2 linked regions of the Nothobranchius furzeri genome follow. The protein of the gene in region 2 purifies or fractionates together with the protein of the main gene of each other region. This does not show direct contact. Links are inferred from orthologs where the notes say so. Each region holds a gene or a part of one and is shown on either strand. Other genes may lie near its edges.

Region 1 (3,819 bases), on a different chromosome or scaffold from region 2:
TTGGACACAGGAACAAGCGCTATTCAGCCAAAGTTTCATAATCAGGGAACATTTTCTAAGTGACAAGTCTCGCTTCAGTGGGAGGAACCTTCCCGCATGCGCTCTGGTTCTGCGACGTGCTCCAAGCCCCTCTCCACATCTTCAGCTCGCTGTGGACCTTATGTAGTACATGCTGACAGTGAGCTGCGCTGAGCGGTGTCCAGCTCAGATGTTCAGATGGGAATCGTTTCTTGAGTGATTTAGCTACATCTGCGATGTGCGTAGAATAAAATGTCAGTTCGTCTGCATGCGTCGGGGTAATTCTTTCTATTCTTTCTCCGTCAAAATAAACGGTCAAATACGGGAACTGTCTGGCCAACACAAGCCCTGATTTTAACGGTTTTCTTGTGAAAATTGTTACAAATTAAACTTGATCAACACCAGGCACACTGCGCCGTTATCTCTGCCACTGTAAATGAGGGAAAAACAAAATGATCGGATCCTTTTCTGACCTTCCCCACCTACAAAGCTTAATTACAACAATCAAACGTGACAGAGCCTGGATTTGTATTCTGAACAGTCTAAACATGTTTTAAAAAGAAACGTACGACAAAAGTGGCACCTGCTCAGTAAAACCACCAACAGGGTGAAAAATATCTAAATATTGTAGGCAGAGACGGGCTACAACTTCTGGATCCACTTTATATAAATTGTTTTATTGATTATCTTATGAAAGATAACTTTGACGTACACTAGCGACCGGTACCGGCTGCCGTCACCTGTTGTGAGCAGCTCTCTGCTGTCTGAGGGTAGGCCCCGCCCACAACGCCGCGGCTGCTGTGGCTCCCAGTGTTTTCTTTACTGTGGGAAACGGGTAATAATGGTTCTTTGATGGGAACAGGTTGCCAACCCCTGGTCTAGAGCTTTAGGTCTGCACCTGAATGACGAGGGGCTTGAGCTGGTTCAGGTCGGGTCCCTCCAGGATTGAGCCAAAGGCCATGACGGAGGCGTCACGGTAGCGCCAGTCGGGGTGTTTGATGTTCTCTTTGATGAAGGGCAGAACGTGAGGAACCACGTCGTCCTCGCAGCAGGTGGCCAGCAGCATCAGACACACACCTGCAGCCTTGCAGGGGTTCCAGTCATCGTCGTCATCGTTCTCATCCTGCAGAGTTTGAAAAAATTTAATTTCTCATAAACCACAGTGAAGTCACAAAACTAGCAGGAGCACACAGAGAAGTGAAAGGTCAGCACCTGCTTGGTCAAGGTCTGAGTCAGGATGGGGACCAGGTACTGAAGTGCCCCTTTAGCATAGAATTTACTAGTGTGCTCGGGGGGGCGCCCCTGCTCCGAGGCCTGATGGGCAAGAGGAGAAACGAGCAGTCAGTGAACGCAGCGCTACACATCTGAAACGAGTCCTCAAACTGGAAACAGACCTCTGAGGCCTCAATGGCCAGGTCCATCTCCTCGTCACAGACGTTGGACCAGAACTCAATACCCTGCAGAGCCACCTCATCAATGTCGCTCTTCATCGCCTCAATAGTGATCTGAAACAAAATTTAAAAAACATGTTGGAAAACAACCGAAATTAGAGATTCAGCTCTACTGAACTTTGTGCAGCAGCAGATCATTAAACTGGAAATGTCCAGGCTTATGACCCTGCCCTGTTCCTGGCGAGGAATTATCCCTGTTTACACCTATTGTCTTCTGAATAAATAAACGATGAACCAGAACATCACCCAAGTGGAACGCTGTTGCTCACCAAGACTGATGAAAATCAGGACAGGACTTTAAACTCTTTGGCCCAAAGAAACGACCTCAGATTCATAACTTTTGCCTTAAACTACACTCAAGTGTTCTTCTGTCCCAACTAATCAAAGCAAAACCACAAGTTTTGTTCTATAGAACCAAATATTGAGTGAGTTTATTACCGCAAACAGAGCAGGCCCCATGTATGTCTCCATGTACTGATAATACAGAGACATAATCTTCACCAGGTTCTGCAGAGCTGCCACGCGGACCTGCATGCATCATAGACGACAGGACGGATCAGGATAAGACCTATAAACACGATCCAGCTCACAGCAAGAGATTCAGTTCTCATGGTACTCACTCTGGTGTCAGGACACTGGGTGGCTTCACAAACCACCTGCATGATGAAGTGCCTCTCCGTCTGAAAACACAAACATCATCATTTATTCACAAATGCAGATCAGAACTACATCCCTGACTAGGGAACTCCAACTATTACATCAGACCCTCACCTCCTTGTCAAAGTTGGCTTTGGTGAACTCCAGTGAGTTGAGCAGGGCATTGGTAGCAGCTAGCTTCACATTGTTACTGGGTTCCTCCTTCCTCATGCCCTGGATGATGGCCGTCAGGATCTGGTTGGCATTTTCCTGCAGCTGCTCAGGGTCCTAAAAGGAACAAAATATGTCAGGAGTACTCCACAGACAACAGCGTCAGGCATAGGCTGCAACAGTCACAAACCAGAACTGGAATCTGGTCTGGAGTCTGCATGTTACAGCTCCGGTGCGTCTGACTGTAAGCGGTTAGAATCAGAACCAGAAGGGTTTTATTGTCATTTGTGCGAGAATCACAACATTAGGAAATTGCTGCAGTACTTGGTGCAAGAAAAGACAAATGATAAGCAAAAAATTCAAAATAACCTTTTGGGTGCCAGTTTTTTCAAGAAAATATTAAATTTTGACAGGACCTTTTCAGGGGGTTGTAGCTTGAAAATGGTAAGAGATAAAGGTAAACTGTCAATGAGAAATCTTCAGTAGGACCCAAAGTTTGTACAGAGAGCAAATGCACTCATCCAATTTGCTTATTAGGATGTCATCGGGTTGCCGTATTGGCATTTGGGAGTCAACAATTATAAATTTTGGTGGCATGATTGTAGTCAAAGAAATAATCAGTTTCATGATTACACGATTATTTTACACGAACTGATTTCACGTCTGTATTTACATAAATCACACACACATCTTATACATTATTGATAAAGGCATGATTACATTCTATAAATGTTCTGAACACTTGAAAAATATTTTGTTCCTTTTCAGAGATTTTGTTTAGAAAAGTTTACCCTGCAATTGATTTGCAATGTTGTTCCATCTCCACAAATAACACAAGCCTGGAGGAGTTCTGCTGTGTAGTGGAGTTGGTAATGCTAACAGTTAGCTTCTACTAGTTGAGACATTCTCTCCAGTTTCCTGGATGCTAAAACAGCCTTCCACGTCATGAGTCAAGATGGGCGAGTCCATGAATGTTAGGCGACAGTGTGATGTAGATCTGATTTTAACAGTTTCACTGTCTATTTTCTATCAATAGATAATGCAGAAGATAGGTGTAGGAGACTATTTTCATGTTCAGCCTGCATGAAAAACTCAGTGACTGATTATGATCAGAAATAATCATTAAAAAGGTTTTTTCAGTGTTTCACACATTTAGTAATATTTGCCTAATAGCCTTTTTTGAGTTTCTGTAAAAACACAAAAAGGTTTAACTGTTGACAACTGGTCAGGACATCATCATGAATTAAGATGCTAAATTCCTACTAGTGCAGTTATTATGAATATTAATTATTACTTAAACATAATTTGTACCTCTTCATTATCTTTTTAAATTTCATCAGTAAGAATATTATTTGGATAAATTATAGAGCAGGAATTACAGATGTAACGGAATGAAATGACTGTTTTCCACCAAGTCATTCCCCCTCTCCTCTGACACAGAACTAGTCTGCATGATATATGGCCTCAAGGTCTCATGCATTTGCTATAAACTGCTTCCTTTCCAGCCCAAGAGCTTCTTGGACTCTCTTTAATATATCAAAGA
Region 2 (4,551 bases):
AAATTACCAAAGACCCAATAAACAGGATTCTTTTATGTCTATAAAATTTTCATGAATTTCTAGTTAGTATTCAGCATTTTTTGTGTATGATGTTGGCGTAAGCAGAACCGTACACATTCAGTTGGTTGTGAAAGGGGGCCATTTTTAGTTGAGCACATTAGCTGGTTGAGCTAGTGGGAGCTTGCACCATGGGGAAGTGCAAGTTTAATGGTAGCTGGATGGCTAATCCCACGTTTGCGACGTGGTTAGCACCGGTTCCAGGCAATAGCTGGAAAATAAAGCTTAAATTTGGTTTAAGTGGCCATAAAAAAGGTCTTAAAAAGTCTTAAATTTGGTTCCCTTAAACCTGCAGATACCCTGACTTAAGCACAGACCCTTAAAGGCTCGGGTACGCTGACTGGAACATTTACAGATGTGCTCACCTTGGAGGCTGCAGCGTTTGTGGCGATGCTCACAGCTGTGGAGATCCACAAAGTGGTTTAAGGAATGTTTCTTTAAACAGCATCAAGAGCTAGAAGGATTGTGGTAAAACATAAGGACACCTTTACAGTTCTCCACTTCACCAGCTGAGGGGGGCAGAGGTTTAACAACCGCTGTGGACCTGGTAGTTCTCATACCTGCAGGCAGAGAGAAACATTCAACACATTTACGTTTTCCCAGAAGACATCTTCATCCTACAGTTCAGTGTTTCTATGATAGTCAAGTTGAATCTGTCAAAACGCCAGACACTAAGCCGCGTGTACCTGCAGCCTTAGGTTTAGGACCGTCTTTTGTAACCAGAGTCTTGCTGGCTGATCTGGTTGATGAAGCTCGTGCAGGTCCCGCTACGACAGCATAGCCTGACACAAAGACACAGCTTGAGATGCTAACACAGTACATGGTCTGGCCGTGTCCCAGGATTCATCATCTGTTCCTTACCTGCACTAACTTTAGACTTGGCAGCAGCTGGTGCAGGTTTGACGGGGGCTGCACGTGTCCTGGTTTGTTTTCCTGTAGCAGATTTTAAATAGAAAAGTGGAAATTTAATAAAAACACCTGAGGCGTATCAATTGCATGCAAGTTTTATAAAAATAGAATTAAAGCTACTTTACCTCCGTTTACTTTAGTATTTGGGTTCTGCATTGCTAGGGGCTGTGCAAAAGTGGGCAAAAATACAGCAAATGAAGATGCATTACTAAATATTATTATGATTATTATGTAAAACACAGGAATACTAATCAGAATGTTTTCATAAACACCTTTTGTGGTTCTTGCTGCTGCTGTTTCATAGAACGCAGGACTCTTGTGTTCTGGTATAGAGCTGCATTCATCTTCTGAAAGACACGCAAATATTTTAATAATCACCGAGTAGAAATATTTAACCGTTTTGTTACTCGTCTCATCACAAAAAAAAAAACAACAAGACAAATGTGCTTCTAGTGTTTAGAACCCTCACCTCCTTAGGTCTGGACACGGCAGGTGGAACAGCAGGCAGGGAGTTGAACATGAAGGTGTCCTTCGGATGGAAGACACCAGTCTTAAATACTCCCTTACGCTCCCTCGCTCTATTTTCCTTCTCCTTCTCAAGAGCCTTCTGTTCTTTCCAGCGCTCAAGTCGTTTCAGTCGCTCCTCTTGTGCAACAGCTGTTGGAAAACGAGTGTTCGGTGAGGCACGAAACAGTGGAAAAGCTCATTTACTGAAACACAGTGTAGAAAAGGAAATCAGTGCAACTGTGCCGAGAAGCTCAAGTTGGATCATACTTGGAGCAAATTTGGCATTGTTCTGCTTCTCCCGAGTAGTTGACAAGTTGACTGTTGCAGCGGACACATTATGGGAAGAATTTTCCAGCTCAGCGAGCGGACCCAGCTGTCTGCGTGTGTTCACGGTCCGCTCTCGGTTCGCCTTTTGGGACTGGGACCTCCTGCGGGACACTTTTACCCTCAACATCGACACACTTGTGTCCCTCTGCCGAAGATGAGCAAAACGAGACTCCATGTTTTTGGGCACCTGAATAATTCACAAAACATAAATCTCAAAATAATACACAAGACATGGTCATGTCTCCCACTCATAAAGTGTTACATAAAACAAGTAGTCAATCTCAAAAGTAGCAAGATATAAATATACATCTCATAATCGAATTACAGAAAAACAACTTTTTAAGAGAAAGTGTATTCATCACACAAACTTATGAATGGATCAAGTAGTGTTCTCTCTCATGTGTGTATGATGTAATGTAAAGCGCTTTTGGAGTCCTCTGACTCTGAAAGGCACCATACAAATGCTGGTGATTCATCATTTTAAAAGACATCAACAAGTTTCAAATAAATTAAGAAAACTTTATAAAGAATTAGCTAAACATACTCGAACTAAACCTGTTTTGGTAAATGCAGAGCGCACATAAACAAATATATGACTCTTTATTGCACTAATTTCCAGTAGTTTTATTTTAGAAAAGGAGTTATAAATGTTTAATTTACTTTAATTCAAGTGATGTAGCAGTCAAAGTATTGAGAGAAGAATCATAGTCAGAGATGTTGTAGTATTGTTCCATTTAACAGATAGGCCCACACACGTTGCAATACCACTAAACAAGTGAACCCCAAAGAGAAACGCAGCCATTGTAATGATACACAAAATGAGAATGTCTCTGTAAACATACGTAGCGCTTAATCTTATTAGAGCGAAGTGTGCTGTAGGGTTTAGATTTGTAAACCTTCAACAACAAACCGAAAAACAGACTAAGTAAATCGCAATGTAATTTCTTAGAGAAACCAACGTGAACAAATAAAAACCCAAATACTTAGCTACCTAGCTAACTTCAACGCTAACTGAACAGCACATAACGCGATAATTCTCCCGGCAAAGAGTAAATAAAGAATACACGTCTCACCTTCGTTTTTTTTTTCAACAATAACGCTCGGAAACAGTATTTTAGGAAAGTTACTACAAAGCAAACGCAGACGTAGTTACAAACGGTCTGACTTTAGCACAACTAATGGCAGTTCGTATTTCAAATATCGTACAGGTTACGCTGATTGGCTGTCCTCAAGATCCATGGCGCTCTGTGATTGGTTTGTTTCCAGCGAGGAGGCTTCCTGTAGCGCGTGTTTACGTCACACGTCGTGTTTGCTTCATTAACCTTACTGAAAACGTGAGCAAAATAACATGTTATAAGAATAGCTCCAACGTCCATGTTTTTGCAATCCTGGGTTTTGGAATCACTTGTCAATTACGAATAAGAAAAAAATGAAGCGTGAACAGCAAATAAAATAATAAGGGGATATAGTAAGATAACATGAAAGACACAGAATATATGTATTTAAATGGGAGTTTGTCAAGAGGAGAGTTAGTTAAAGAGCAAAGCATTCTTCTATATTATGAAATCATCTACAAGAGGGTTATAAATTTGTTTTTTTAAATTAAGTTGTGTAGCTTTATGCTTCATAAGCTTGAAAAAAAAAGGAAATAAATAACATGAGAAGCTTTTTCTGCAGAAAGATGTCAGTTCACTGCACAGTGAAATCATACCTGTTACTTTATAGTTTCATCTGGACATAATGTATCTGTGTACCTATTTTGAACATAAATTTTTTAGCAGCATACCAACTGCCTGGTTTAAATGAATAAAACCCAAAATGCACTGTCATCTAGTGCATAACAAGGTTGCCTCTAAACTAATTATGAAGCCATTTGTTTATTTCACCAGAGTAATCTCACACTAACTGACTACTATTTTACAAAAGTACAACTGTATAATCCTGAGTAGGAGAAAATAACCGGGCGCGATGACAAGTGTTTTTAGAGCACCAGGACTGAAGAGCAGCTTAATAATTGCCTTAACAACACACGTATACAATTACAACACACAGTTCAAGATGAAAAGAACTCACATCAGCTGGCAAAGCTTAAGGTCAAAGGTCATGAATCAAAAGCAAGAAAAAGATGCGGCAAAAGTGGCATGATGGGAGAGTTCAACCACCAAAAGCTCTGCTGACCTCAAAGAACACAACGATCTGTCAAAAAACATCTTGATGAATGTCAGGATTGAACAGACAAAAGTGGACTTTTATGGAAGGTGTGTGTGTGTGCCCCATCACAGCTGGTGTAAAAATAACACTGCATTTCAGAAAATTATAACAGACACAGAGGTGGTAGTGTGATGGTCCGGGGCTGCTTTGCTGCTTCAGGACCACTTGCTGCGATGGAACCATGAATTCTCCTCTCTAGCAGAAAATCCTGAAGATTATCTGACTTTTGACCTTAAATAGGCCGTCCATGCTGGAAAACCATCCACCGTGTCTCAGCTAGAATGGGCCGTAGCAGAAGTTTGTAATGATCAGATGAAATCTCTCGTTATGCTGTGTTGAAGGACGCATTTTAAGTGTGTCCATTTTTATTCTTTTGTAATTTGTTATGCATTTTAGACACATCTGCCTGTAGTTTTAGTCTCTTGTAATAGATTAGGTCTGCTCCTCTATTTCTAATGCTAATTACTTTGCCTATATGCAGCACTTTGGGGCAACAGCTGTTGCCACAGTAACGTACTAAACGAATACATTTTGACTTTA

Evidence for each region.
Region 1: the proteins of dlgap5 (region 2) and kpnb1 purify together in Homo sapiens (affinity purification with mass spectrometry; 4 studies listed by BioGRID and IntAct, with this or other methods). This does not show direct contact. The link is inferred for Nothobranchius furzeri from reciprocal best matches to the Homo sapiens genes DLGAP5 and KPNB1.

What each region holds. Positions count from the first base shown.
Region 1 is NC_091745.1:29,728,604-29,732,422, forward strand, and holds part of kpnb1 (importin subunit beta-1), read right to left. Parts: intron 2,394-3,819; coding exon 2,241-2,393; intron 2,150-2,240; coding exon 2,090-2,149; intron 1,998-2,089; coding exon 1,908-1,997; intron 1,524-1,907; coding exon 1,413-1,523; intron 1,333-1,412; coding exon 1,231-1,332; intron 1,142-1,230; coding exon 917-1,141; intron 1-916.
Region 2 is NC_091756.1:29,320,290-29,324,840, forward strand, and holds the start of dlgap5 (disks large-associated protein 5), read right to left. Parts: upstream 3,022-4,551; 5' UTR 2,874-3,021; intron 1,988-2,873; 5' UTR 1,976-1,987; coding exon 1,741-1,975; intron 1,624-1,740; coding exon 1,436-1,623; intron 1,314-1,435; coding exon 1,239-1,313; intron 1,132-1,238; coding exon 1,092-1,131; intron 991-1,091; coding exon 919-990; intron 840-918; coding exon 744-839; intron 618-743; coding exon 543-617; intron 458-542; coding exon 423-457; intron 1-422. UniProt on the Homo sapiens protein: Potential cell cycle regulator that may play a role in carcinogenesis of cancer cells. Mitotic phosphoprotein regulated by the ubiquitin-proteasome pathway.